Lonchura striata: one gene and its partners. The protein of the gene in region 3 purifies or fractionates together with the protein of the main gene of each other region. This does not show direct contact. Links are inferred from orthologs where the notes say so. Each region holds a gene or a part of one and is shown on either strand. Other genes may lie near its edges. The genes, in order: MED31, MED21, CDK19 and MED4.

Region 1 (7,524 bases), on a different chromosome or scaffold from region 3:
GTAAAGAGACTTCAGAGCAGCCACTGCTTTACAGGCAGAGGCCAAGATGCAAGGAAGCTGAGTTTAATAGAACAGAGACAGCTACAGCTTGTTTCCTTCTCTATCCTGCAGAATTTATCAGCATTTATCTCTGCTCCACTCCCCAGACCTCACCCTGTACACTCCTGATTTCTATCCGTACAATGTGCTGTAAGGAAAACAAACTTCCATCAACAATGACTGCCAGGGTAACAGAAGTGACATGTAATAGCTCAGCTTGGTTTCAAGGAAAAACTGCACAGTTTTGACTTTGTCTATCATCACTTCACCTTTGCTTGTCCCAGAGCTGTAAGTAGCAGGGAGTTCTCTTAAGATACATCATTATTCTCCAGGGAAAAGGTTTCCTAGGAACAGCCTTTAGAGCTACACTTCTTTGTAGAGAGTTGGTAAGTGACAAATCTAGATTTTGTTTTCAAAATCAAGAGGAATCAATAACTATTGTAGTAAAGCTCTTACAAAATTGTCCATGCTGTAAAATAAATTGCAGGTGTTTATTAGTTTTTAAAGGAGTTGATGAAACAAAAACAACCCTAGTCATTTGATAAATTCAAATAAAAGGCACAGAGCCAGAGCCAAACTTGCACAAGGGTTCATTCACCTCCTGTAAATACTTCACTAACACAAAGTACACCTTATCATCACTACTCTGTGTGCTTTTCATTTTACAGAGGTGTTGTTTTGTTGCTGCTGCTCAGCCAGTGCCTGCTGGAGGCGCATCCTTTTCCGGGAATAGTGCTGCCAGTGGAGGATCTGTTGCTCATCAATAAATTTGGCACACTGAGCATTGACCAGCTCTTTGCGGAAATGTTCATACTGAAGCAGCTCTAGCATATGCAGACATTGAGGATACCTGGGTTAAAAATAACCACACTTTAATACAGGTTTTTACAAGGGACACTAAATCTAGAGTCTCCAGTACTTCTGTGGGTCGTTAGTTTTGACTCATATGTGCTTTACCCAAGTGTGAAACGACTTCAGCATGAACACTGTGACTTGGTAACTGCAGCATCAGGCCAGGAAACAAGACAACCAATTCCAGTAATAAATGCACATTCCTGCTTACTTACAGTAGCTTCCCCAATGGCTTGGTTTGATAGACCAAATCTATCCATCCATCCAACAGGCTTTACAAGGCCTCTTTCCAGAGCCCAATTAAAGATGACCAAAACCATTTTCCCAAAAACAGAAGGCATTAGCACACTTGCAAAAACACAAAAATCATCTTTTGTCTCATGCAAGCATCAATAATGCACAATTGATCTTAAAATGCACTTACTGCTTTTTTGCCCTAATGTTCAATAGTTTGATTTTAAACCAATCGAAAGTGCAGATTAAGGCTTTAAAGGAAGATTCTATGCAAAACTCATGAAATTTTTATAATTTTGCCTATTGCTGCTACATGTGGACTATTGGAAACAGGGGAATCTACATTGCATATAACCATATGCATAATCTATGTTGCAGGAAGGACAAAAGTAATGCTACAGGCAGAAATGAAATCCTATCATGCTGCTGTACAGTGTTCAAAATGAGGTCAATGGCAAACCATTAAAATGCAGAAACTTAAGGGAATTTAGTACTTACTTCAGGTATTTTGCATATTCAGGTTCTTTCCAATAAAGTAAATATTTAAGATAATTTACAAACGCTTTATCTTTGAAGTAGCCTCTTTGTGCAAGAACTGAAATGACAAGGAATTGACAGTTACAGATGGGTGCAAAATATCAGCCTACTTGAAAAAAAATCACAAAGTCAAAGCTTTCTCATTACAATCAAATTTCAATAATTTATATTTGGCAAATTAAAAAACCACAGGGCAAAATAAGATTTTTATGTCAAGAAAATAATAGATTGGCCTCATCTCCCTTATAGTTTGTATCTTTCATTGAATGGAACAGCTTTTTGAAACAAGAAAACTTTGACAGTAGCATCAAAATTAACAGAGTTATGCACAGTACCTAAAACTATTCACATTAGTAAAATTCTGTTTTCAGATAAAGGAATGCTGTTAACTTGACATTACTTTTTAATAACAGACTGGAACTTGTTATTTTCTTCCTCCATCAAATAAATGCCTTTTTTTTTTTTTCTTGCATTCCAACTAACAAAAGACTTTGCATTTTAAAAAAAAATCCACCTGTTAAACAAATAATTTACAGGTTAGTTTCATGCTGTGAAAACCCTTTTCTTTGTTTAGCCCTCTCTCCATATTCAACATTACCGGTAACAATAAACAGCATTGCACTATATTAACTCTTCCAGGTTGTGGTATTTACTTTAAGTACTCACAGTTGAGGTAATTTGGATTTGCCAGACATTGAACAAACTCCAGCTCCAACTGGAATCGAAGTCGATTTCCTGTATCATCTGATTCAAGACAAAACCAGTAAGAATTGGACCCACACAGACTGAAAGCATTCGCAGTCTGTACCGGGACCAAAGCGGGCTGGGGCGGGTGAGGGCCACGGCCGGCGGCAGCGAACGGCGCGGTGCGCGGGCCCGGCGCGGCCAGGGCGCACCCGGGACAGGCCCTGGGCTGCGGGCTCCGAGGGGAGCCGTGCGGCGCCCCGCTCGACCTGCGCCGGCCCGGCACGCCCGGCGCTCCGGGGGCCTGCCGGCTCCGAGCGGCGGCGACAGCGGCCCCACGGGGCTCCTCCCGGGCTCCTCCCCGGCTCCGCTCCCGGCCCCGCTCCCGGCCCCGCTCCCGGCCCCGCTCCCGGCTCCGCACGCTCCCGGCTCCGCTCCCGGCCCCGCACGCTCCCGGCCCCGCACGCTCCCGGCCCCGCACGCTCCCGGCCCCGCTCCCGGCCCCGCTCCCGGCCCCGCTCCCGGCCCCGCTCCCGGCCCCGCTCCGGCTCTGCCCGCTCCCGCACCTGCGTCCATGTCCGGGCGCACACACCCGACAGCGGCGAGCGCGCCCCCTACCTACGGCCCGGCGAAATGCAACGCTAGGCACGCTGGGAACGCAGCGGCCGTTGCCTAGCAACGGTGGGGGCGGGGCCATGGCGGGGGCGGGGCGCGTCGGGGGCGGGGCAATGGCGGGAGGGGCTGGGCTATGACCGGAGGGGCGGGGCAATGGCGGGAGGGGCGGGGCTATGACCGGAGGGGCGGGGCAATGGCGGGAGGGGCGGGGCTATGACCGGGAGGGGCGGGGCCATGGCGGGCGGGGCGGGGCCATGACGGGGCGCGGCGGCGCCGCTGTGTGCCGCAGCCACCGGTCCTGCGGAATTTCCCCGCCTGAGGGAAAAGGCCCAGTGCCACCCGCGCTGCTTGTGCCAGGGGACCCAGTGCGAGTCCAGAGTGCCATTCCTGGGACTCCAGCTCCACGGCTCTTCCCGAACATGAACGCGGGCAGAGTTTCGTCCGTGTGCCGCAGGGCCCAGTCAGTCCCAGAGCCAGCGAGTGTGGCTTTGCGGTCACTGTTCCAGGCATGTTCTTTCCCCAGATACCCCTTGAGCTGCGAAGGATAAAAAGAGGATGAAGTTTTGTTTGTATTTGCAGAACATTCATTTTAGCTTTGTACTACACAAAGCCACTGTTCATCCCTTCCAGAGCAAAAGGAAGTGGAGAGAATCAACTTTTAGAATCAACTAAAACACTAAACTGTATTTAAAGTTTAATGGTAAATACTGGATATTGGACAAAGTTGGGAACTTTGCAGGGCTTTTTTGTTTGTTTGTTTTTCGTAGTGACTTTACAGTCAGCCAAAGAGATTTCTGTCAACCTCTACGCTTAATTCTTCATTAATTAAAACACAGTTGTCTCAGAATAAAACCATTAACAAGCAAATGCTCCTTGAGTGAGCAGCAGCAGTGGAAGCAATCTCTACAGGCTTACCTGAAATCCTTCTAATTTTTCCTTTTTTTGTTGTTTTAATTATTTTCAATTTTAATTTGTTGAAGTATTTTTGGCATCCAACATAGCAATTTTCTATAATACTATATTTTCCTATGCAGTATGAATTTTCCCCTGGGAATTGCATTACAAAAACCATATAAAAAGGATTCATGCATAGTTTTTTTCTTAATAAAAAAGAGTTGCTTTCTTAGGCAACATTTTAGTGGTTGTGGAATACTACTATTACTATATTAAAACATAACAAGTCACTCCCCAGTAAACACAGACTTTGATCTAAAAGAAGAGATCAAAGAGATCCCACGTGTCTGCATTGCTATTCTAGAACAGGATTTCTTTCCCAAGAGTGACTTCAGAGGAGAGAATCCTAAAAAAGGATTGGTCACAAAAATAAATTACAATGTAGGTTTGCCCAAGTTAAGTTAAACATCTCAATTCTTGTCCATCAAAATTAGGAATAAAATTGAAAATCAGGATTTTAGTATAGGAGATTTTATAGTTTAAATATTTTATATAGGAGAACATTCTTGAAGAAAAGTTTGGGGTTTTTTTTGTTTGTTTAGTTTTGTTTTGTTTTTAAATGTCAGGTGAGCCAAACTTGCAGGACATGTGTCAATATAACTGTGAGCCAGAAATTTGTCTTATTGTCATAGAACAAGGATGACATTGCTGCCTCAGTTTCTCCTTTCATAGACTAGACTGCTGTCACTGCTGTTGCCTGCCCAGAAATGTGATGGTTTAGGACAGTAAGTTTATCTTAACTCATTAGAGCTGGCATAGAGACACAGCTCTTAAATTGAGCCACTTCTGGGACCTGAAGCCACCACGGTTTTATGAGACACAAGAGAAAATAAAGTCTCATTTGGCATGCTGTTGAATCTTGAAGGTAAACGCTGAGGAAGAGAAATGCTGCAAAAGATTCCTCTGTGACACCACTGTGCAGTGCATCTGCACCAGAGAGAAAAAAGCTCCATCAATTTCATCACTGAGAACTGATCAAGTGAGATGAAATAGGGAAATGTTTTACACCGGTGCATGAAACCCAAGACATCCCCTCTTGTTCACTCCCATTTACCCATTGCTTTGGAATAGAATGCAAACTGATACTAACATGGACATCTGACAGGATTTTACCCACAGAATGCAAGACAGCTTCTGTAGATGGAGAGCATCCTGCTTCAAATATGGTTAAATAACAGAGAGCAGAGTATGCATTATGTTATATATATAACAAGCCAGCACAAAGTCTGCAATTTTTTTACTCCAATGCTATAATTGTAATTCAATAGAAAGAAAATCATAGTTTTCAGTGACTAAAACAATTGTCAGAACATATTTAATTAAAGGCTTAACTCTTCACTAAGTTCACTTTTTTGAGGTCAAGAAACTGGCAGGTAATGTGCATTTCAGAAGGCCAATAACAGTCGTGTGCAACCACTTCATCCACAGATGCTAAATACCGTTCAGGCAAGCTGCAAACTGGATGAAATAGTGTAAAAAGACTGGTGTATTGAAGGCACTGGCACATATACTTCTGTGACTGTGGTACTCCTCCAGCTTCAGACAAACACTAGAATTTAAAGATAAATTAAAGATTAAATGTCATGTGTCAGAAAGCATTTTATGTTTTTCCATAATGAGTTGGTTAAAAATATGTGAGGGCTTCTATTAAGACACCTGGACAGCAGGAGAATTTGAAATCAGCCATTTGCCGGGAGTAATATACATTCCTATGTTTCTGATTTCTGACCATATAGCCAAGGCAAAATATTGAAGTAAAATAGAAATTTCCTCCAGAATAATAATTTCTTAGTTGAAAGGTTGTGTTAACTTTGTTTCTGGTGGAAATTTGATCTTCAGCTGGCTTTCTAAAATATTTGCTAAGACCCAACCCAAGTTATTGTTCTCAAAGAAAAGCTCACAAAGGAAACAACAATAAATTAGATTTAGTATATGGAACATTAAGTTTTTTCAGGAAAATGGTTTGTCTGTAAAAAAAGTTTTATGAACACTGTAATGAGGCTCACACTCACTGAAACAGCTTATGAAAACTCATTGAAGTGCCATGTGCCAAATAAGTCTGGGAAATAATTTTGTGTGGGTAAATAAAGCACTGAAGTAAACTGGGAAAGGATAACATCTTTTCTCTGACAGAAGAAACAGCCTCTTTCTTATGGCCAGCATCCACAGTAAATGTAAATCTACATTTACACCATAATGGGCAGCTATTGACTAAATGCTCTAGAAAAAATGGGGGGAAAATAGCTTCAGTATAGTCATCTCTATTTTTAAATAACTACCAAACATTGTATTTAGCAGTCCCAAATCACCTCAGGGCACCATGGTATGCCTACCTTTACTCTGTGCTCCCAGTGGTAAGGGCTGTACTTCCCTCAGAATTTCTGTGCCAAGCAGAGGCAGTCTGCAGTGCATGGCAAGCCCTCTCTGTGTCACAGACCCTTCACTCAGGGACAGGTACAGATACACAAAGGGGAAGGTCTGATCTGCCACTGAGGAGCTGCCACTGATACGGTTCTTCTGGGCACAGGAGAATCAGCACCCTGCCACTAAACCATGCAGGCAAATGCTGAGCCTGTCTGGCAGGAGACTGGTGGCCTTGTGGTGCAAGAAGTGTTGAAAACCTCTCAATAGCACAAAGAGATTGATCAGACTTGTCTAAAATCACACTTTTATTCACCCACACTGGAAAACATTGTGAAAACTCTGTCACTTGATCCAAGGGCTCAGGATTCATTACCACCCACTTCTTCACATATTTAGCACAGACAGGGGAAAAAAAAAAAAGATGTGAAGTATGTAAAAATGTATACAATATGTCACTAGTAGAAAGGAAGAGGAACCACTCCTGCATTTTGGCTAGGATTGATGCAGTGATCTAATTCTTTTTCTGGGCTGATTTTCACCAACTGTCCAATTCCAACTTTGTCAGCAAATGTTGGGTTTGGCTACAACCAGGTTATTGCTATTTCAAGTGGCAACACACCTGAGCTGGAAAACAGAGGCTGAATAAGCCAAACACTGAGTTCAAATGAGATCAGAACTCAACTGGAATGCACTACTTGCTGCTCTGAACTCAGTGGATGACACCAACAAATCTGACCACTCTTCATCTTGGGGACAAGTTCTAATCATGTAGAGAATGCTGAAAGGTTTTTCTTCTCTATTTCACAGATCTAGATGTTCAACGTGTGGGCAGGAAATACCTTTGTTATCTCTTTGTATGTTTTCTTGTAGTTTGGTAATTCATTAACTCATTCACAGTTGTGAGACCATTCCCAAGCACTAGTACACTGTGGGAACAAGTTTGCACACTAGTACATGATCAGTCAGGAACCCTGTGCAACCCTGTGCAGCCCAGATCACAATGCTGCAGGTTTGGGACACTCAGTATTTGCAGAAACAGCATTAGCAACTTGATATTTTGGTAAATTGGTATTTTGAGAGAAGAAAGGAAAAGCCAAGGTTCCATAGAAAGAGGGCAGAAAATAAGAAAGCATTAATTTAGCTCCTTAGAGGCCTTAGAGGTGGCACTGCTAGCTGTGCTGCCAGCTGGCCAGCTGACAGACTCACTGACCACAAGGAATCACACTCTGCCCTCATATGGTAAAA
Region 2 (7,565 bases), on a different chromosome or scaffold from region 3:
CTACTCTTCTAATTGGACAATATTTATTAGATATGCTAGTTTGTTAAACTCATAAAATTGTAGAAATCTGATGCTGGGTGTGACCAAGATCATTGGGACACCTGGAAGCTTCCAATAAAGGCCTGCTTTTTATTTTACTATTTTAACACCGTTGCAAGAGTTTCCTCTTTTGATGTTGGGCAACAGGGAAAAGCAAGGATCTTCAACAGAATCCTGAAGTGACTTTGCTACTGAAGGATGATGAGAGAACTGGTTCTCCCTAAAAAGAAAAATGTTCTCTTGTTTAATAGTTGACTGCAGCTAATCCACAGATTAGAGCAGAATTTGTACTGTCAGCTTCACAAGGGGCAGGTAAATTGTGTTGAGCATTTGTGTAGCAGCTCCTTTTGTAATTTACGACAAGACTCAGATCTGAAACATACACCAAGACAACTTTAGTATAAAAAAAGCAGATTTGTATTAAACGAGTATTATCTACCACTTCTCAACTAAACCTATAGTGCATATTTGAGAGTGTTTCAAGCATCCTTAAAACCATTTCTTTGAAGACTATCAGAATATTTAATACTGCACCAAATTAAGCAACAGAAAATAAAAATCAAAACTGGAATCCAAGTGATGGAATCCAAGCTAATTTATCTTAAAACCATAACATATAGAAAGGATCTGAAATTTTTGTGACATGAAGTTCTTCATTAAGACAGCAAGAAACTGTTGAAGTATCACCTCTAAGGAAAGCATATCCTTACTGGATAACCAGCTCCTCCTTCTGGAGCACCCTGCTTTACCCACACCAGCTGCCACTTTGATCAGACTCTGCTCAGTCATGGAACAAACTGGAATTTGTCTGCAGCAGGCATTCTATCTTCAGCTATTAAAAATGCACTTACAGGAAATTATGCCAGTGTTAATGAGCCCAATTTTGATGTTTAGCAATTACTGCGACTAGCGAAGTTCCCAAATTTAACCTCCTCTGTTTAAAACAAACGTGATGCCACTGCCATGTCTCTTCTCTTTGGCTTATTCAGTGTCAATCTTCTGTAAAACACTTTTAAACAGTTACAAACTACCAATGCAAGTTTAAAACTTTTAGGTGGTCTTAAAGGTGATCATCAGGTTTGTCAGAGAAACAGCACTCAGCATCCTTTATGCATTCCAAAGAGAAAACACTTGATGTAAATCCAGCCATTAAGAGTCACAAAGAAAAATAATAAAAAAAAAAGGATGGTTTTAACAGGTAAAATCTACGAAAAAATAGGGAAAAAAAACCCAAAACAAGTTTGATTGGCTCAAAGGAAGAATCCTTGTTATCGAAAAGTGATGGAGTTATTTTGTGACAGAGCTGAAGAACCTAAAGGACACCCCGCAAGCTCTTTAACCAGAAACAATGTGGCAGAACAAAAGACTTCTGTAGCATTAGTTCTGCAGCTACAGAATGAAATGTGAGAAAATATGAAATATAACCCAAGGGGAAAAAACGAATAAAACAATGCACAGAGCATCAGTACTGTTATATCTGTTCTGTTAACATCTGAAAAAAAAGGTGAGCAGTTTCCAGTGCAGTGGTGGTGTGAAAAACCATCTTTTTTTTTACATTTTAACAGAAAACTAAGTCTAAAATATTGTCATTGATTATAACCTTATTTGGAACTAGATGCAAGGTCACTATTTCCACTAAGCCTACAAAGCACGCTTAGGCTGCCCTTGTAAAAAATTCAGGTTTGTACTAAAATCATTTTTCAATGGTGACATGGCTTAGAGATGAAAAAACGTGTTAAAAAAGAAAAAAAAAGAAGGAAGTTTGCCTTCAGGAGCATCCTGATGTCAGAATTATGAAAACTCCTACCTGCAAAGCTGCTGTGGATTCTTCACTGGGCAGGGAATCTATGAGAACATCGATATCCTTGGCGGTGCGAGCGATCAGAGCTGCGAACAGCTGGGCGTACTCTGCACAAAACACAGCACAACTCAGCCAATCACTCGGGGAATTTTTAGAAACAAGCACAACTCTGCTGCCACACTGTTGATAGTAAAAGGGTTTTAAAATCATGGGGATTTAGGGTTAAAAAGAAAATTAATTTTAGTAGGCCCTGAAAAAAATAAGTACCCTAGGTACATGAAGGTCTTGTACCTTGCTAGAACTGCACCTGTGTAGCTAGTACGTGATAAATTATATAGTTGTTAGATGTGATGATTGTTTAGTAATTAAATATAATTACTGTTTAATCGTAAGAATAATCATGAGAAACTGTAGTCAGGGGCATAACAAAGATCACGAGAAACTCATGGTTGAATAAAGTCAATATAAGTTTAATAATTAATATGTAAGTTATATAAGGATAGAATATAAAAGACGTGTAGCTCGAAAGCCATGTCGGAGTCAGATTTGAGTCTGTACCGCTGATTCCCAGGGCTCTCAATAAAAGCACCTGCAGATAACCATCCCCCGTGATGATGCGTGTTCCTGAACGCCAACACTGCTACGCAGAAAGCGCAGCCGACACCACCCCGAGGTATCCCCAGCCCTCCCGCAGCTGCGGGGGAGCTGTTCGCCGAGGGGCTTTGCACTCCCGAAGCGCGCAGGCGACGCGGGCAGCCGCACTCACCCTCCGTGGGGTTGACGCCCTGGTCCTTGTTGATGGCCGTCTGGATGTTGCTGAAGGAGGCCGGCGGGCCGCACTGCTGCAGCACTCCGATGGCGTTGCAGAACTGGTCCGCGAGCTGCCGGCACCAATTAACGCGGTTAATTGGCTCCTCGCCCTGCCCCGCCGCTGCGGCCGCCCCGCCTCACCGCGCGGCACCCCGGCCACGCGCAGGCCGCGCACCCCACACCCGCCGCCGTGCCCCCGCCCGGGGCGGGGAGCCGCATCCCCGCAGAGCCCGCGGCGTTCCCCGCGGCCCCGGGAGCGCGGAGGCGGCGGCCCCGCCGTACCGAGTTGACGGCGTCCTGCAGCTGGGTCAGCCGGTCCGCCATGGCCGCGCCGCCGCCGCCGCCCCTGAGGCGCGGGGCGCGCGCGCCGCCTGGCGGCCGGGAGGAACGGGCGGCCGGCGCCCCTCGGGGCGTCCGGGGGAAGGCGGGGCTTGGCGCCCGGCGCCGCCCGGCACGGCTGCGCCCGCTGACCGCAGAGGTCTTTTCAAAGCTACGCCATTCGGGTACTGCCACGGCTTCTGCTGTGCGGCAGCCGCTCTGAGCCCAGCTGAAGGCTGCAGCAGCGCTCGGGTGCTCCGCTCCAGCCCCGATGTGAGCAGGGAACAGCCAGAGTGTAATGCTCCCAACGAGCCAAATCAGAGCCAGCACCCGGCCCCCGAGCCCGGGGGTTGGAGAATAAATGCCATTCGTGCCAGTCGGTTTGTGCCCATCTTTCTTACCTCTGACAGCTGGGTACAATGCCAGCCTTCTCCTTAGAGAGCATCTCTTCCTAAAGGGACACTTTCCACTATCCCAGGTTGTTCCCAGCCCCATCCAACCTGCCCTTGGACACTGCCAGGCATGGGACAGTCATAGCTTCCCTGTGCTACTCTCATAGGGAAGAATACCTTCTAATATCCAGTCTAGACCTCATTTTGAAGCCATTTCTCTTACCCTGTCACAACACGCCTTTGGAAATAACCACTCTGTAGCCTTGTCACTGATGCTGCGGGTGCAGCAACGACACAAACAATCCGCCCAAAGTGTTTTCCCGACGGCACGGATGGGTGACGATCTGGGCTCTGCTCACGCTCTGAAGTCAAACCCCAAACCCCACACTGCCGATCCAAACCCCACCGCGCACTTTCAGGATTTTTAGCCACCGCGGCCAAACGCCTCCCCTCCGCCCGCCCCGGCCGGGCCGGAGCGGCCCCGCCTGCCGCCCGCCCCCGGCGCCCGCCCCGCCCCGCCCCGCGCCGCGCCGCGCCGCGCCCGGCCTGTCCCGGCCTCAGCCGCTCTGCGCGCTCCCTCCGCAGCGCCATGTGGGGCTGGGCTCGCCCGGCGCTGCTCCTGCTGCTCGCGGGGGTCCTGCGGCACGGCGGAGCCTCAGGTGAGGGCGGCGGAGCGGGGCGGAGGAGCGCGGCTCGGGCCGGGGGCTGCGGGGCCGTGCCCGGTCGCGGCCGGCGGCGCGGGCTCGCTGCCGCCGCGGAGCCTTCGGGGCTGTCCCCGCCGCCACCTGCCCTCCGCAGGAGCGCGGGGCAGAGCTCCCCGCGGCGCTGCAGAAGCGCCGTGTGTGTTCCTGCTTGTCTGCATCTTTCATGCGGACAAGGAGAGCCACCCTCTTTTTTTATCCCCTTTCCCTCCCTATCCGCTTTTTTTTTTTTTTTTTTTAAACGTCTTAATTGCCGTAAATGCCATAATTGTAACTGTTTCATGGATAATTCAGAATGATTTTGGCCGCGGGGGTGCGGAGCAGGTGATGCGGATGGTGTAGGGCTGTATTCCTCGCACAGAAACGAGGTGGCATTGGCCACTCGTGAACGTGAGTTGACATAGCTAAAAGGCGATTTGGGTTGGTTTGCTTGCCTTTATCCCCCGACCATGTGCAGGTGTTCATGGGTTCTCACCACCCTAGTGGATGGTGGGTTGAAAACCACTATTGCTATAAAACTAGGGAAAGGGGTAAAACCTAGAATTTGGAATTTGCAGCTTGGTTCCTAAACTTACTTTCTGTCCGTACTGATGTAATCTGACTTTATTTGGCATGGGCTTTTTTTGTAATTTCCCTGTGTTCCTGCATGTGACTAAAATAGGAGTCCAGAGTTAAGTGTGCTATAATAAGTATAGTTCAGGAAGATTTACAGTCACTTCTTTTTTTTTTTTTCTTTTTCTGGTTAAACTCTTATCTGTTCAAATAAAGGAAAAAATAAACAGTTTCCTCTCAGAGATAATTCAAAGATAAGCAAGCAGTCCTTCTTATCAGGGCTGATATAAGCCTCCTCCTTTTAGTTGCTTTAGTTTTGTACTGCTTCTAACCATGGACTCATAGAATGGTTTGGGACCTCATCTCGTTTCAACCCCCCTGCCATGAGCAGGTTCACTTTCCACTAGACCAGGTTGCTCAACGCCCCACCCAACCTGGCCTTGAATGAATGAAGCTTAATTGTCCAAAGGAGACTCTTTGGATACTTTGCAGGGCTGCAGGACAGCATTTGGAATCAGTCTCAGGTGTGGAAGGCTTCTCTCTGCCCAAGTCTCATGCCCAAGATCCTAATGGAGAGCCAAATATTCCCTGTTTCTTGCAGGACCTAAAAGCTTTGGCTGGGCACCTGATGGTCACAAGCAGGTGTGAGAATAAAAGCTCTGCTTTCTTAGACCTTAATGTCCTTAAGATAACTTAAAGGATGCTAACAAGCAGTTTGTCTCCTAGACTTGATGAAATTGGGTCATGTGTTGAGTAATTTTTCTACATTATGTAAAAAGGCAAAGCAACTATGAGACTAAGCAAACTGCTTTGCCTTGGAGGAACCTGTTGCTGTTTTTCCTTGCACGAATGAGGGTGGAGGGGAGGAAAGTATTTCCCTTGTGAAAAGCTAATAAGCTGTGTAATTTGTGTACCAGAGTCTAGCTGATCATTAGGGCCTTTAAAAAAGGCCACTTGCTTAATGGTTCACTGATTTGAAATTGTCTTGTGGTTATTCAGTTGTGGGCACCCACTTTTCAGGGATGGGCTCTGCTAACTCCTATTTCTTGAAGCTCCTGCTTCATTTTAAAAGTGCTGATCAGTAAAATCTTTGCATGATGGCCTGTGTAACCTCTCTGGGCTTCTGATGGGCTGCGGCCCCTCAAACTTAGTCTTTGTGCAGAAGTGTTTTCTGCACTGATTGTTGCCTTCCAGGGAGTTCTGTCTTCCTGAGGAGGAGTTCAGCTGGCCGTGTTTGCTACATCCAAAGTGGGCTGTTTAGTTTTGGAAAAACTAAAGTGAATTTATAGTGTAATCAGGACTGAGGGGTGCTTTTGTAAAGGGAGCTTATCTGGGTGAAACTTGTTTAGTCTATGCAGAGATGATACTTTACAATAAGATGTTCACACAAATCTCTTCCCTCACTTTTCAGGCGGTAAAACACCTCTAGCCTGGTGAACAGAATAGTCCTCTGGGATGGGAATGGTGCAGATGGTGGCAAGTCACATTCTGTGGTGTCATCTGCTTTAAGTATCAAGCTGTTCTAAACATGAGTTTCAGTACACACACAATCAAAGTTTAGAAGCTTTCAGAAATGTTTCTGCTTCTTTTGGGAATAGGGTAGGTGCTGTATTTTTTTTGGGGGGGAGGGGGGCTCAGTAGTGTGGGAAGACAGACCCTGTAGCCAGACTCTCCCATTATCTGTGTCTGCATGGCCTTACAGGTCTGATAGGATATGGCTCCAGGCTTTATTCTGTTAAGTAACTGTATGCTAATGTTTTTCTTACTCAAACTGGTTGTCAGTCTGAGCTTGCATTTCATCTTCATTAAATGTCTTCATGTGACTACTTGTACTCCCTGCACTGGAAAGTTCTCCTTGGCTCCTGGAGCTTGCTTACATCAGGTTATTCTGCATATCCACTGCAAGGTGCTTGACACCCAGTAGAAATGTGTTTTCTCTGACTGCACAGAACCTCTTTGAGAGAAGGATAATGTTTGAGCATGGCTGTATGGGCAGCAGGGGCATTTCTTCAGTTGTTTTTCTTACTGGAAATTGGACTGCTGGTTGTAATCAAGAACCCTGTGTGGTTAACTGCTCTGTGGTGGTAGGGAGTGACACTTGGCTATTGGAGCTGGAAATGTGGTTTTCTCAAAGCATCAGAGGAGCCAAGAGCTTGGCACTGAATCAGCACAATGGAAACAGTTGAAGCTGGGTGTAGCCTGTTGGAGAAAGCGTGTCACAGGGAAGGGATAACAAGTGCAGAGGCTCTGGAGTTGTTTGTCTTGTTGTTTAGAGTTAGGAATAAGGACTTTTGATCTCAGAAGAGTTCCAGGAGGTTCTGTTTCTTGTCTTTACCGGTTTTGCCCTTCATGTGGGAGAAGAGATACTGTGGGATGACAGAGTGGGCTGTTTGCTGTGTTCACCAGTTCTGTGTGCAGGGCTATCTGTGCTACAGCCCTGGTGCTGTTTATGGAGTAATACATGCTCAGTGCTCCCTCTCCACTCTGCTGCTGCTTGGTTTCAGCAATGCTGACTTCCTTTCAGCATCTGTTCATTTGATAAGCTCTGTAGCAGTTTGGGTTCCTCTCATGTATCTAACCCAAAATTACTCTGATGTGTAGTGACTGTTACAGTCCTTCCTATAGGGCAAGGAAGAGAGCATAGCCTGACACCTTTAGAGCGTGTCCAGGCCTTCACCATTGGAAGCAATAAAACAAGTTGGGATGCCTGGATTTTGCTCCCATCTTTGTTGCTGACTTGCTGAATCAACTCTCTCACTTGTGAGGTGGAGTTAACTGTGCTGCTGGTCCTGCAGACCTGTCTGGTGGGCCACCTCTGGGCAGGTCAAGCTTGCCCAAAGGAGAAGATTGCATGCTGTGACCAGCACTATGTGGTTGTTGAGGTCTCTGTGCCTTTCAAAGGATGTTTGACAAGACTGAGCTCTCTGTGGCTCAGGGAGTCTAATACCTGTC
Region 3 (7,702 bases):
TTGCCAAGCTCTGTAAAAAACACATTTTACTATTTCATAAAATTCATATGCCAACTTTTTGAAACATGAAGTGACAAGTTCTCAGTGGAATTTCTGCAGAGCTACAAGGTTCTTATTGCCCTCAGCCTCCTGAGATTGTAAATTACCTACATGAAGCAAGAAGACAGAATGTTTCTTTTATACAGGAATGCTTTGCAAATTGGAAATACTGAAACAGTTTCTGCAATCAGCTAAAGAAGAATTCCTTTACACGAGGCTCAAAAGCCCCCAGTGATCAGCACACAATGAATATGCACCACTGCTAGATTTCTTTTGCTAATTTCTTTTATTAGGGATCCCTTAAAGTTCATAACTAATGCTAAATATCCTCCAACCTGAATATATACTTTAGCTAGGAGTTTACATAAGGAAATTATCTCATATTAATGGCTTTAGTTGTTTTCTAATATTTTCCTAAATTGTTCACATATTACTTTCACCCAATGATCTAAATTTACACAAGAGCAACTAAGAGTGAACTCACCAATGCCATAAAATTAATATAAAGAAAAAAGAGAAAAAATAAGTCACTTTCAAACTTCATGAAGTAAAGCCTCTGAGTATATAGTACAGTTGAATTTGTGCCATGTTATATTATATGTCAATCTATCTGACAGCACTGAAACTTTGCACTTCCTTTTACCAGTTAGTTGTCTTACAGCTCAAGGTCTCCCTTTGATTATTCCCAGCTCTGACACATTAGCTATCTTTTTATCATATTTACTTTTGCTTTACTACCCATTTGCATTTGTCATATCATTAGGGATTTTGAAGACATGTTCTTTATGGTGCTTTGTAGCAGCAATATAATTCCTGTGATGGCTTTCCTTTCAGATGATGGAAAGGAAAAATGTCTGACTTTAACTTACTCCGAATTTCTTTCTTTCTTGAAACAGTAAATCCAAGTGCTGCCGTTTTTTATGCTGTTCATACAAGCAGCAATTTTAGGCTTACTATATCAAAGAACAGCAACAGACATCTAACTAGCATTTTTGGTGGTTTTGTTACTGCTTCCTTTCCTTATTACCACTTTCCTCCTATCCCATGTATGTTTTACATATATATATATAAATTAATAATTAGGAAAAAGAAGCAACCAGGATCACTTAACTCAAAAATATTGGAAGAGCTCAGTGGCACTGTAATACCTGGAAAAGCTTTGATATTTCAAGTTAGTTACGCTCTAGTATTCCTAAGGTTGCAGAGCAAGCTAGTCAGAATCAGAGCTCATTTCTGGGTAGTTAATCCTTCACTGGAATTAGTGTCTACCTTTCAGTTATTAATCACTTTTATACTACAACCTCCTAATTCAGAGTTTAAATTTTCACGACACACAAGAATGCCATTTAATCCTACAGAAGAATCCCTAGACTTCTCTACTAATCTAAAGCAGCAGCATTCCATTAACCACTTCCAAAATTTTAAATAAAAGTTGTCATTTTTCCACGTTCAGTCTCTTCTTTTTCAAAGTTTCCATTGGCTATAATGGAAGGCTATTCCCTTTAACATTCTGACAGAAAGGAATCACCTGTAATTCACAGGTATATTTTATCCAACCTTACAGTATGCTTAGAACACTCTGAAAACACAGCCTGGGTTTGTGCACCAGGCACACATCACAGTGAAAAAGTGCTCAATGGCTCTTCTGAAAGCAAATTATTCCATTTGGAACCCACACCTGCACAAAGCCTTGCTCAGGCCTCAGGACTGCTCCCCTTTAACAACTGTATGCCAGTCAAACAATCTCAAATTGCAACCCTACCTCCCCACTGCTCTCTTAACCACAATACTGTGAAAACAGCATCCATGGAATACTTATCCCATGATACTGGCTTTCCCCAAAGAAGAGAATAAACCTTGCTTAGCCAACATACATGGGCTTAACGCCTAAAGGACTCTCTGTATAAAGCCACCAGCCAAGTGTTTAGGGACAGGGACTTGTATCCTGCTCTTTCATGGGAAACTGATGGAGACACACCTGTGCATTGGTACTGGACAGAAGCCACCAGCTCTGCCTACAAGGAGCATCCCGGACAGGCCATCAAGCCAAGCTTGCCCGGCACTGGCACCAGCAGGGTGCCTGGGGCTGGGGACACACCAGGGACCAACACACAGGGAGGGAGCAGCCGGGGAGGGGCCGTCGGGAGCCAGGTGCTCCTCCCTTCTCAATCCCCTGCCAGTAATCGGAACAGACCGTCAAATTACGAACGCGGTCACACAAAAGACGAAAGCGACGACCTGAAACACGGCGTGCAAAGCAAAGGCGACCCCAGGGCACAGCCTGCTGACACCGCACCACCAGGGATGGCGGGGGGAAAACGGGGCAGAGCGGGACGAGCTTTAGGTTGAACATTAGGTAGGACTGCTTACATAGAGGGTGATTAGACATTGGAATGAGCCGCCCAGAGAGGTGGTGGAATCTCCGTCTCTGGAGGTGTTTAAGGAAAAACTGGATGTGGCACTCGGTGCCACGGTATAGCTGAACATGGTGATGTACGGTCACAGGGTGGGCTCGATGATCTCAGAGGTTTCTTCCAGATAACCGATTCCGTCGCTCTGAGCAGCCGGGCAGCGGCGCCGGGGCCGGGGCAGGGGGCCCGCTCCCGGCGCGGGGCGGGCGCTACCCGGGCGGGCTCCGCGCTCCGGCCCCCGCGCTGCCAGAAACTTTCCGAGGAGGGAGGGAGGGAGGGGAGGGCGCTGGTGCGGGGGGATGGGGGGGTTGGAAGGGGGTTCTCGGCGCGGCCCTTACCCGTCCTTGCGGCGGGCCTTGTAGACGTGCCCGTAGGTGCCTCTGCCCACCTTGCATCCCTCGTACTCGAACAGGTCCTCCACCCGCTCGCGCTCGGCCGCCAGCTTCGACTTGAACTCGTAGTCCATGTCTCGCCCATGGGCGGGGAGGGACGGGCGGGCAGGGGGACGCGGCGGCCGGATCAGCAGCCGCAGCTGGCGGAGCCCCCTCCCGGCGCCGCCATGTCCGGGGCTCGGCGGGGGCGGCGGGCGAGGGGGACGGGGGGCCGGTTTGTTTTTGTTTTGGTTTGGGGCTTTTCGGCGGGGGGGAGGGGGCGCGCTCCGCCGCCGCCACCCGCTTCAACTGGGCTCCTCGCGGCGCGGCGCGCGAGGTGCCGGGAGTCGTAGTGCGGCTGCGGGAGCCGGCCCCGCCGCCGCAGGCAGGACGCCGTAGCGGCAGAACTACAACTCCCGGCATGCCTCGGGCCACCCCGGCCGGGCGGCGTCGGCGCACTGCCCTCTCCGGAGACACCGGAGCGTTTCAGCGGCCGCTGGGAACTTGCTGACTCTTCACATTGCGCGCACAGGCGGGAGCGGCGAGCACAGCCGGACGCGGCGCCTCTGGCTGGCAGGGAGAGATGGAGGGAGGAACAGAGGAGCAGACAGTGCACACGCACCCATGCTGCGGGGCGCCGAACAGTGCGGCGACTTGTTTATCTCGCCAGCTGCCATTCACGGTCCGGCCCCGCCTCCCTGCGGGATGCTGCCCTGTGATTGGTCAGTGCTGCCCCGCCGTGCGGCGGGCGGGGCCGGGCCCGGCCGGCTCCAGGGCTTGGCGCTGCGGGTCCATGTTGGAAACGGGAATCCTGCTAGGATTCGCGTCGTTAGGTGCTGCTAAATAAACCGGTCGCTTACAGAAATACGGGGGTACATACTGTGTTTGCGCTCGGATAGAAGCCAGGCGTATTGCTGCGTCTTTATGATCCGATGCCGTAGCAAGGCTGTGCCCCTTCAGCCCCGAGCAGAGAGATTTTTAGATAAACGCGGCGCTGCTTTGGGGTTCAGATTTCGTCAAAGCACTTTGAGATCACAGAAACATTCAGGCCTTTTAATGTTATGTCTTGGTCTCTCGAAGATCTTTTTTTGTGAAAAGCACCAGTCTGCAATCTTACTTGCATTATGGAAGTGCCAGGCAGAGGCAACTGTACGAAGAGTCACACAGAATCACAGAGTCAGTCAGGCTGGAAAAGACCTCTGAGAGCGAATCCAGTCCATGACCAAACACCACCATATCAACTACAGGCCGTGGCGCTAAGTGCCATGTCCGTTCTTTCCCTAAATATCTCCAGAGATGGTGACTCCACCACCTCTCCAGGCATTCCATTCCAAAATCTAATGACCCTGTCTGTAAAGAAATTCTTCCTCATGTCCAGCATAAGCCCCCAGTGGAGCAGCTTGAGATGATCTCCTCTCATCCCGTCACCTGTTGTCTGGGAGAAGAGGCTGACCCGCACCTACAGCTTCCTTTCAGGGAGCTGTAGGGAGTGTAAGGTCAGCCTTGACCTGACCTGCAGGTTACATCCCACTCTAGAAGCAAAGCACTTGAGCGTCCACCTTGTGTGTTCAACCTTCGATTACTCCCGCCAGCAGCAAGTGAATGAAGCAGAATTAAATTAGAGGAGGGGAGAATAAAAATGGCATCTCTCCATACACAAAAACAATCTCAGTTCGTCACCTGCTCTGCCAGCATTACTTACCACAATGGAAAGTTTTTCCACATGCTGGATGGGAGGGGTAGAGAAGCTGATGAGAAGCTGTCGTTGCTGACAAAGCAAAGGGAGGTGTCAAGTGCATGATAAGGTAGGGTACTATATATGATTACTAGTGCATAGCTAAGTCATGAGGTCATAGCCAGAAGTTTGTTTCTCAAGGAAAGGCAGGAGTGTAACCATTTTGAGGTGATTATTTCTTCCAGAAGGCAAGAGATGATTCAGAATTTCCCTTGAGACAGGTAGCTAGCAACTGAAGTTCTCAGAAACTTCATTGCTCCTTTACCAAAGTAATAATTTCCAGAGAGCTCAAGTGCTTTGCTTTGCAGTTGCAGATGTGGATCTTTCTGAGCAAGGCCTGATCATGAGCTGGCAATTTTCCTGAACAGGACAAAGAACACCATCGATCTTTCACAGTCACCATTAAAGACATTTACTAAAATTAGAGCTAACTATTTAAATTTTGCAAAGCGTTCACATCTTTGGTCAACTAGTAATCAAAACGAACACCGAGAAGAAAGATGCAGACATAAAAAAGAGAACTTATCTGTAGAAGGTTATTTTACCCAGATTCATTCTGGCAGTTTTAACATCAAATGGAATACAGACTACCTTGGTGTTGGTAATATTTGTAACAATAAACTCTTCAAGTAGTTCCTATTGCCCTCTTTGACCAAGAAAAATAACCATTATTGCCCCTTTTCATCAGTAAGGCATTTGTTTTTACTCTTTTAATTTTACAGTGTACTGACAAGACTGTCTTTTACTATAATTTGTTTTAAGTCCACAGTGCTGGTGAGAGAGGGGTAAGAGCACCCTCATTATGGTGACCTGGCATTGTAAGCCAAGGCAGTATAATTTTCCCTCCACCCTCTACTGTACACTGTTCCCTAGTGTTGCAAGCAGCCATTTTATCCTTTCTTCCCTAAATTAATTGTGCTTTGCCAGTAAATTTTTTGGCCTTCAGTGCTGCTACTGGGAGGCTGTCCGAGGAAAAACCTCTCTAACAGCTGGAAGCCTTTTAAAAATGTCAAACCTACGTTTCCTTGTGACCAGTACCACGTCCATCTTTTCTTGCTGTGCAAATACTGTCCTGAAGTAGCCTTTCCTGCTCTCCTGTGTGTACCCCTGCCAAAAGTATTTATAGACAGCAGTCTCATCCCCACGCAGCCTTGATTTTGCTGGACTAATAAAGCCATGCTCTTCTCATTCCCTTTGTGAGCCCCACCAGTGAAGGCTGGACTGGTACAAGTCAGGTTGTGGAAAAGCCCAGAATGTGATCTGTGCCCTGATTCCTTCTCTCATGACTCAGCCCTACTTCTACTTTCTGAATCCTTATGTTGGCCACACAAAAGCCACTAAAAGTGTAGAACCAATTAAACAGCTTCAAGCACGGGCCAGATTAGAGCTGATGAGAATGAGGCTACCATCTCATTTGTGCAGAAGTTTTATTATGGTTGGAAGATGGAAATGGGCCCATTTGTTTCTTCTTGAGATTGGAGTATACAGCAGGATTCCGTTTCAAATTCATAAAGGTGGAAAAAACACTGTATGTGGCACAGGCTGTCAGACCTGCTGGAAAACAGCTACCTGGCATCTCCTCTCCAGGTGGTTCCCAGAGGAGAAGCAGTAGCAAGCAGCCATTTACAGAGCAGTGACAGCAAATTGTTCGAGAGAAAGAGACAGAAAAATACTATGACATTTTCATTGCGCTTCCAAGTTAGTGGAACAGTTGTGATACCAGTAACACATATTTAATAGCATTCATGTAACATTTTTAATATGCAGTGCCATATCGTTTGTTAATTGTACTGACACATAAAGTTTGAGTAGTCCTAGCAATGGAAACAGAAAATTACAAGGTTGCAGATTGCAAGAAGGACTTTTTTCAGCCTGCTAGCCTAACTGAAGATGCCATATTGTCAGTCATTAGAATCACCATTTCTTCCAAAACTCAAGTCACTGGAGTCAAAACTCAAGTTGCACTGGAGGTAAAAGATATGTCAAGCAAGACTGAAAGTTGAGGAATTGAGTATCCTTACCAGATCTCTAAGCAATTTTCCAACACAGATAAGACATGAGTTTCTCATGCAAAAAGGAAAAATTTGGTTTTTAACACTTCAGTGCCAAGAAAGTGATACATGCAGAACTTTGTTGTTCTTTGTAGATTGCCTTGCACTTAAAATACACTCCTATTTGCTTTCCAGCATGTTTCATTCCTTGGGCAATCTGTTAGAAATCTCTCTTCATTTTTTAATGAGACTAAAAGATAGGTGGTGGGATTTTTTTCTTTTTCTTGGCCACATTTGGAAGTAGCAGCACCTTTTCCTAATTCACTCTCTTTGTAAGCTTTTACTTGTTAATCAAATAGGAAATTTTTTATTCTTAGGGATCAAGATAGCATTTTTTCCAGTAGATCTTGAGTGTGATATTAATAAACATATGCACTCAGTGTGGACTTCTGTCTGTCACATTTAAAGCCAATGTTGCTTCACTTCAGAGTGGAAGGATGGCTCTCAGAATTCCCAGGGATATAAGTAGAGAAACCTTAGGATGGATAGAAGTCTCGTATGTACTGTATTATCATCTCTTCATAAGCAGAGGAAAACTAGCAGACCTGTTTCAGAATGTGTAGAGATATACTTGGAATTTTTAAACATACTAATGGCAGTGTGAAGAGCTAATGAAAATGGGACAGAATACCAGAAGACTTCTAATAGGGATAGATTAGAAACTCCCCAACTGATTAATATCAATTCAAGTTCATATGTTATGATTCCCAGTAAAGCTCTGAATTTTGGAATCTTTTATGTCAATTAACTTCTAAACCTCTATAGTAAAAGTATTAACCTTGTTATATTGTTGTAAAAAAACAAAGTACGTAACTCAGGGGTTCTTTTATAATTTTACAGTAAATCTAGAGAGCATGCTAGGAATGAAAGAAGGGAGGGCTGACTTCTGCACTCATGATATAATTATTTGGCTAGCTCTGTTTTGTTGGGGGTTTTCTAATTCATTTTTATAGTACCATAATCCAAATAGTACTGAATGAGAAACCTCGTGCTGCTTTTCTTGAGCATAATCCAGGAAGCTGATTCCAGAATAGTCTGTACTGCTTTACTCCATGTTAAGAGAACTCTTGCAAAAGCTATTCCTTACCTTCTCTT
Region 4 (7,418 bases), on a different chromosome or scaffold from region 3:
AAACCACTAAGCTCTTATGAAGTTTTAAGTATTTAAATCGTCTCAAACTAACACAACACCACTTTGCCCAGAACTGCCTTTTCTACAAGAAGATGCTCAAAAGCAAACACATCATTATGAACTTACCAGTATGTGCTCTGCTTCTTTAAGCTGTTTCTGCAGCTGCTGAATATCATTATCCCGCTTTTCTACTACCTTTTCTAAAAGCTGCATTTCATGATGGATTTTTCCCTGATCAACTGCCAACTTCATTAGCTCTTGAAACTCTCCATCTCTCTGAATCAGCAGTTCCAGGATCTATTGAACAACAGTTTTGTAGAACTTTTAATTTGGCTAGAGTAACAACACACTCTCAGTCATGCTACAAAGAAGAGCAAATGGCATCCATAGGAGTATTTTTGCTTGAATGAAAAATGAAAGAAAATTTCTTCCTGTTTGCAGAAACGCCCTATGAAGCACATAAAAAATTAATAAACTGCAGGAGAACCAATAATGCCTCTGTAGCAGGGCCAAAGCCCCACCATGACCATTAACTTGAATATAGGCAAGGACAAAAGGAGAAAGTAAGGACAAAGAAAAAAAATGGAAAAAAATTAGAAGCAAAGCATTATGCTTACCCAAAGAAATGCAATTCAGAAAGGCAGCTTACCTGGCTCTCCTCTCCTGGTTGTGGAAGCTTTTGGTTTCTTGAAATTGCCAAAATTTCAATTAGTTCCCTGAAAGGAGAACTCCGTTTGCACAATTTCCTACAGCATTCTCACATCAAGTCATCCCAAAATTACCAGAGTACTGGTATAATTATGAAAGTATTCATGGACCTGAGCAGTTTATATTTTATAGTACAGTGTGGGCAGGGACTTTTCAACCAAGAAAGAATATTTTTTTGTTATTTGAGCTCATGAAACCCTCATGTATTTGAACAAGAAATGTGCTAAGTTCCTGTTAAACCATAAAAGACATAAACAGAACCTGAGAGAAGAAACAGCATAATGGAGTGCACTCAGATCCTTCTTCTACTAGCTTTCTTTGTTGCAAGAGGGTCTTCACTGTTTTACTTCTCTACTTTTTTCCACTTTTTCTCCAATATACTTGTAATTTAGAGCAATTAAGTCTACACTTTCAAATACCAACAGAGTCTGTTATGGAACTGCTTTTACAACAAATATTCCCACAATGGTATATTAGCTATGCATCAAGCACACAAAAAAATATAAAAGAACCCTGGTAATACTCTGTTGCTAGGCTAGAAGTGCTTCTCAAACAGACCTCTTGATCACTCTTCCAGATATCCAGATACTCTGCCTGTGTTCAGAAAGCCAGCAAGAACTCTGGGTACCATGATGCAAAAAGGCATTTTCTGTAAATTCAGCAAAGTCATTTGGCTTCTAAGGCTATGAATGGCAATTCAACCCTAAGCACAAGTAACTGTCATCTGGAGACACTGCCCTTGGAAGTACTGACTCTTTGCTTGGTCCAGTGTAAGCAGCATAGTGGGGTGTGTGTGTAATATAGCACTGGGGCCAGAAATGTCTAAAAAAATCCCCAGTAAAACTCTGATCTTGGTCTATATCTCTTGGTCACTCCTGAACACTACTATGATTTTAAACAATTAGACAATAAAGAAAATTGTCACTGTTACTAAAGCTTTATTCTACCTGACCAACGCTGAGCAGTAGCAAATAAAATCCATTTTAAGTAGGTCACCTACCACCATCAAAGGTGATGTCAACTAGTGCTGTAATTCTACCCTGTGTCAGCCAGGTAATGCACAGACATAGATTCAAAACTATAGAAAGGCTACAGATTAGACATATGGCTTAATTTTTGTCCCTACCACCAAACCAGTATTGAAACTGAGAAAAGCCTAGCCCCAGGGTGCTGCAACACTTAGCTGATCAACAGGAAGATTCACTAAATTTTGCTGAGAATTGCTCTGGCTTCATTGTGGTAGAACACTAGTTCCAGCATTAAAAAATATTAGCAATATACATAAAGAATAAGCTTGTTTTCATTTTTCAATAAACATATGCTCTTCAGCAACCCTTATGTCTCAATAAAATCTGTGACACAGGATAAAACTTAACCTGCCACAAGGAGAGCAACTCACCAATAGCATATCCTAGTCTTGGAACTCATTCAGTGAGCAAGCCACATGGATAGTACAGGTATTCCCACTGAAAATGTTTTCCTAAATTCCTGCTCTCCTTGAGGTGTGGAAAATAATTAGGAACTATCTGAACTTCACTGCCAGCTGTGCCTCCACGACATGGTTGACAATTTGGATGAGGATTACCAGCCTGGACTAAAGACCCTGGATTAAGTATCTGAGCATTTCTATCACTCTGAAGACAAGCGCTGCAGCCTACTTGGAGTGAATGTGGCACTAATACAGGCAATGACCTGAACAGGTGATGTCATGCCACACCATCTACGTATTTCTGACTTAAGCATATTTTTAGTGACTAATAAAATGCCTAAAATCGGCGTGTGAGTGTGCACTTCACAGGAAGCAGAGGTGTCAGCCAAGGGAGAAAGGCAAGTGGGAGAAAAAGGAAGCTACACCTTCTCTCTGCAAACGACCGATGCTTTCCAGCGGGATGAGCGCCGGGAAGCGCTGCGCAGGGCCGGGCCGAGCCCCGGCGCAGCACCAGCCCCTCTCCGGCAGGGCCGGCCCGAGGAGGGCCAGAGCAGGAAAACGCGTACCAGCCGGGTCGGGCCAGCGCCGCAGTGGCGCCGGGCCCCTCCCCTCCCATCCCATCCCAACCTCCGGGGCCGCCGCTCCGCTCCGCCCGCCAACCCCGGCTCCGCGCCCGCGCCCCGCCGGCAGCCCTCACCCCGCCCCCGGTGCCCCGCCGCCACCCGGGGCCGACGGGGCCCGAGCGCGGTACCTGGCCAAGAGCTCGAGATCCTCCAGCGCCGCCAGGAGCCGGTCCCGGGTGCTGCTCCGCTCCCCGCCCCCCGCGCCCGCCGCTGCCCCGGCCCCGGCTCCCGCCGCCGCCGCCGCCATCGCCGTCCCGGCGCGGACCCCAGCGGGAACCGCCCCCGGGAGGCGCGCGCGGGCGCGCGGCAGCGCCCCCGGCGGCGCAGGGGCGAGCGGCAGCCGCGAGGCGGGCGCGCATGCGCGGGGCGGAGGGGCGGATCCCTTCCCGCCGGCTGGCGGGGCGGAGCGCAGCGGGGGTTCGGGGCGCGTCCCCGCGGGCTGGGGGCGTGAGGGAAAGCGGGTCGCCTCTGCGGCCTGCCTTGAGGCCAGGTCGCTCCTCGAGCATCTGTGCTTGTTGCTCTTGCAATCATAGGATCATTTAGGTTGGAAAAGACCTCTGAGATTACGGAGTCTCAACAGCGTCGTGTCAGCTAGACCGCGACGCTAAGGGCCACGTCCAGTCTTTCCTTAAGCACCTCCAGGGATGGTGACTCCACCACCTCCCTGGGCAGCCCATTCCAATGCGTAATCACCCTTTCGGTGAAGAAAATCTTCCCGATGTTCAACTTAAACCTTGCCTGGTGCAGCTGCAGACGGTGACCTCTCGTCTTCCTGTTGCTAGTTGTTGGGGAGGAGAGGTCTGTCCCCACCTGGCTACAACCATTCCAACTGGAATGCATTTGTGGAGTCCCCGGGCCCCCACAAAGAGCCTCCAGATGACACTGATATATGCTAAGGATACAGAAAACAGGCTGCAGGTGAAGTGTGTGCAACTGTATTACATCTTCAGGGGCTTTAACTCAATTTTTGAGAGTCTTGGTGTCCAAAAATCCCTCAGGTGTCTTTGATCAGATGGAGGATAAAATCACAGAATCACAGAAAGGGTCAGGTTGGGACCACAGAGGGTCATCTGGTCCAACCTCCCTGCTCAAGCCGGGTTGTCTTAGAGCACACTGCACAGGATTGCATCCAGAGGGTTCTTGCTATCTCCAGTGAGGGAGACTCCACAATCTCTCTAAGCAATCTGTTCCAGTGAATGGTCACCCACACAGTAAATAAGTTCTTCATGTTCAGATGAAGCTTCCTGTGCATCCGTTTCTGCCCATTGCCTCTTGTCCTATTGCTTGACACCACTGAGAAGCACCAGGCTCCATCCTGACACGTCTCCTTTAGACATTTATATATCTGGTGTTTTACTGGCAACTGAGGAAGGTTAAGTGCATGATACTGAAAGCATATCAAAAACCTGAACTTCAAATCAGACCAAGACCAGGGTTTTACCTGGGCTGGCTGTCCCTTACATGACTAGAGGCATCACTGTCCTCCTGACACTGCCCGTGCACACGTGTGTGTCCATGAAGGTAGCTTGGTGTCCACCACGGACCTCTACACACAATGGTCAGGGCACAATTGCCTGCTGGGGGCAGAATCTGAACACAATAATAGGCTCAAATCCTGCACCCAGCCCTGCCAGCAGTTGAGTTGGAATTAAAAGGTACTGCTATGTTGTGGGGGTTTTTTAATGCTGCGCTCTATGGGGTGGTGAAACGGGCTGCTCCTTCTGGGTGGAGTCACAGTGTAGCCAGTGGAATTTTTTTATATTCATGAAAGCTTCAGTAATGTGGAAAGACCCTGTGAGGCCAGGCTGGAGGGAAGATGAGGGAGTACAGAGTAAGAGCTTATCTGGGGCCAGGGTTTATTAACTAGGGCAAGCACTACCATAGAACAACAGGGAGCCCCAGACCCTGTGTCCTTCTGCTGTCAGCAGGCAGCTGCCAGTAAACAGCTATTTTCTTCTCCCCTGATTAGAAAAAGGCCTACAGGAACAATAACTTCTCTGACTGCTGGTATTTACTCTGATTATCTGTTACCTTCTGCAAAAAGTGTATTCCTGAGAAATTTACATTTATTTAAAGAAGAAAAAAAGGCAAGAAACTCATTAGTCAGTAATTCTTTGGATTGTGATTTAAATAAGCAATTCAACATTATGAGATTTTTGATAAAGCAATGAGATTTGGCAACTCTGAGAAAAAAGACTTTGCTAACAGGAGTTATTTAAAATTCCTTTGCAATGCCCAACAACCCTCAACATTCTGATTGCAAATAGTTTGGGAATTCTGTTTAAACTGCATAGCAGATAAAATCTCATTAAATAGTTCTGCCTTTTAAATAACTTTTGCTTGCTTTTTTTTCCCTTCTCTATTTCCTTGCTTTTGTTCAGGGAAAGATGTAATCAGTGATAGTGTCTGGTTGTGCATCCAGTTCACTGATTCGTTAGTGTCTGTATGGGTGCATAAATAGAAAGAAATAGTGACATCAAAAACAAAGCAGTCCTTCCACTAAATCATTTTCTTCCTCATACTCATTTTGACATCTGGATTATTTAGACTTGAGTGCTGTATTTCAGGGCAATAATGTTGGTTTCACTTGAGCTAAAAGCTTGCAGCATTAATAGGACACCCAGAGTTGACAGGTGTGAATATTGATTATAGGTGATTTCTGTAGCCTGATCTTTCATTCTCCTTTTGCCTGGGAGCTTGTTCCCTCCCTTCCTCTTCACAGCAGTACTACTTCCACCCAACCAGGCCAATACCACCCATCTTTCCCTGGAGCAGCCAACCTACTTCTCAAATTTCTATTCCTCTTCCAGGCAACATGGACAACTGTCTGCTCTCTACTGCCCATGGCTGCATAGCCATGTCTGGGGAATGCAGTGGAATAGGCAGAGACTTAACTGTGTTCGTGCCTCTGTGTGGGAGGACAGGGTGAGACCAGAGGTATCAGGGAATGCCTGTCTGTGCCAAGACATAGAAAGTAATTCAAACCATGTCATAGGGGTCATCTCCTTCAGAACAAAGGGAAAGGCTGGGTGAAATGGGCTCATGCCCCAAACTCGTGCCCCCCATGGACTGATTACTTAAAGACTGAGTGAATACTTTGCTGAATAGACTTCTGAAATATTTCCCTATAAAAACAACAGAGCCTCTGTTCCCCCAGTGTTGGTTCCTCTGTTACCTCAGTTCTTCAGTGCTTTTTGCCTACTTTCCCCTGGGTAAACTTTTTTCATAGTTTTGTTGGTTTTGAGCCAGATCTGCTTCTTTGGTTCCTCCTGAATAACTAAGCATTGTTCCTGAATTTTTCCAGTAGACTGAGAACATTTTAGTTTGTGTAGTCATACATGGATATTTGCACAGTGAGTTTATTAAACATTTCAGAGCTCTTTAATTTCAAATTGTCTGTTCAATGGCATACTGAATGTATTGTTAAGAACCTTCTAGCATAAGCAAAAATAGCTTATTTTATCTTGTTCAGTTGAGTCTTTTCTCTTCCAGAATGGGCCTTGAAGTGATGATCAGCAGAGCAAACTGATTCCTCTAGATAGATCTAGGAGCATCTGATCTGATCTAATAGTTCACCAAGGGCAAGAACCTGAGATGCTGCTAACTTCTCATGTCCCAACTGCAGATTTTCACCCACCCTTAGCTCCTTCTTGGTGTTTGCCATATGGGCCATGAGCCACTTCAACTCAATAACCAGACTGAAGAATATTTAATTTGGAAGAGGATGTTCATTTCCTTCTGTTTTAGATAGTGAACTCTAACCTCATCATATGGAACCATGCCTTCAGAGTGTGGCTTGAGTTGCAACTAATTTCATGGGACTGTGGGCTAGTGCTGAAAAGTGAGATCTTCCCTTCTTTTATTCATAATTCAGTGCTATTCAGACCTAGGATTCCTCTAGTGCAAAGCATTTTCTTCCAACATAATACTGTGATTCCTTCACTCTAGGTATTCCTACTTTGTTTGGTTTTTTTTTGGTTTTTTTTCCTATGAACTAGAAAATCACTTTAGAATGTAGAAGCTGAGCTGTAGCGAATCTTGCCTAAGAAACCCAAAGCAGGTGTGTGCTTCAGTTAAAATCTGTATTTTTTCTGGGCTACAGTGCTTTTCAGCTGTCTTCTAATTTATACATTCCAGACACTAGACATCAGGTGTTCAGTTTGCAACAGCTAAGTTTACCACACCTTAAAATAATAAGGAAAATACAGACTACAGAAGATACGTAATACCTGAAGGTTCTCAGGACCATGTGTAATAAAGCATTGCAATCACTAAAAATATAAAGGCAGGAGGATACACAAGGAGAGCAAAAAGGAAAAGGGACAGAACAGTTACTCATTTCTACTTCCCCTAAATAATGTAAAAATAAAATCCTTTCTGTCAAAAATCAACTAAAATAGAAATCAAATATCTTGAGCACTGTTTGGAAGGATTTCACAGCTGTACTTTGGTCTTGAAAGATGAGAATAATCGTCCCTCATTTGTCAAGATGTCATTACACTGTTAATATTTTGAAATGTGTCTGATAAATCATCCATTTCTTATTGCTATTTTAAAAGAAATCTATGTTTCCCTGCTCACTGATGTTGGGTAGTTATCTTGGACCAATTAGATAAGACAGGAAATGAAAAAGCTGACTTTGCTTTTTAATAATTTTT

Evidence for each region.
Region 1: the proteins of CDK19 (region 3) and MED31 purify together in Homo sapiens (affinity purification with mass spectrometry; 6 studies listed by BioGRID and IntAct, counting the BioPlex papers as one, with this or other methods). This does not show direct contact. The link is inferred for Lonchura striata from reciprocal best matches to the Homo sapiens genes CDK19 and MED31.
Region 2: the proteins of CDK19 (region 3) and MED21 purify together in Homo sapiens (affinity purification with mass spectrometry; 6 studies listed by BioGRID and IntAct, counting the BioPlex papers as one, with this or other methods). This does not show direct contact. The link is inferred for Lonchura striata from reciprocal best matches to the Homo sapiens genes CDK19 and MED21.
Region 4: the proteins of CDK19 (region 3) and MED4 purify together in Homo sapiens (affinity purification with mass spectrometry; 7 studies listed by BioGRID and IntAct, counting the BioPlex papers as one, with this or other methods). This does not show direct contact. The link is inferred for Lonchura striata from reciprocal best matches to the Homo sapiens genes CDK19 and MED4.

The regions. Positions count from the first base shown.
Region 1 is NC_134622.1:11,673,672-11,681,195, reverse strand, and holds MED31 (mediator of RNA polymerase II transcription subunit 31), read right to left. Parts: upstream 3,013-7,524; 5' UTR 2,923-3,012; coding exon 2,913-2,922; intron 2,407-2,912; coding exon 2,329-2,406; intron 1,721-2,328; coding exon 1,624-1,720; intron 890-1,623; coding exon 697-889; 3' UTR 507-696; downstream 1-506. UniProt on the Homo sapiens protein: Component of the Mediator complex, a coactivator involved in the regulated transcription of nearly all RNA polymerase II-dependent genes.
Region 2 is NC_134607.1:1,479,605-1,487,169, reverse strand, and holds the start of MED21 (mediator of RNA polymerase II transcription subunit 21), read right to left. Parts: upstream 3,019-7,565; 5' UTR 2,975-3,018; coding exon 2,933-2,974; intron 2,722-2,932; coding exon 2,607-2,721; intron 1,948-2,606; coding exon 1,847-1,947; intron 1-1,846. Other genes in the region: TM7SF3 (transmembrane 7 superfamily member 3), read left to right, coding at 3,950-4,019. UniProt on the Homo sapiens protein: Component of the Mediator complex, a coactivator involved in the regulated transcription of nearly all RNA polymerase II-dependent genes.
Region 3 is NC_134605.1:68,775,910-68,783,611, reverse strand, and holds the start of CDK19 (cyclin-dependent kinase 19), read right to left. Parts: upstream 3,020-7,702; 5' UTR 2,917-3,019; coding exon 2,789-2,916; intron 1-2,788.
Region 4 is NC_134604.1:61,908,342-61,915,759, forward strand, and holds the start of MED4 (mediator of RNA polymerase II transcription subunit 4), read right to left. Parts: upstream 3,008-7,418; coding exon 2,889-3,007; intron 717-2,888; coding exon 650-716; intron 298-649; coding exon 127-297; intron 1-126. UniProt on the Homo sapiens protein: Component of the Mediator complex, a coactivator involved in the regulated transcription of nearly all RNA polymerase II-dependent genes.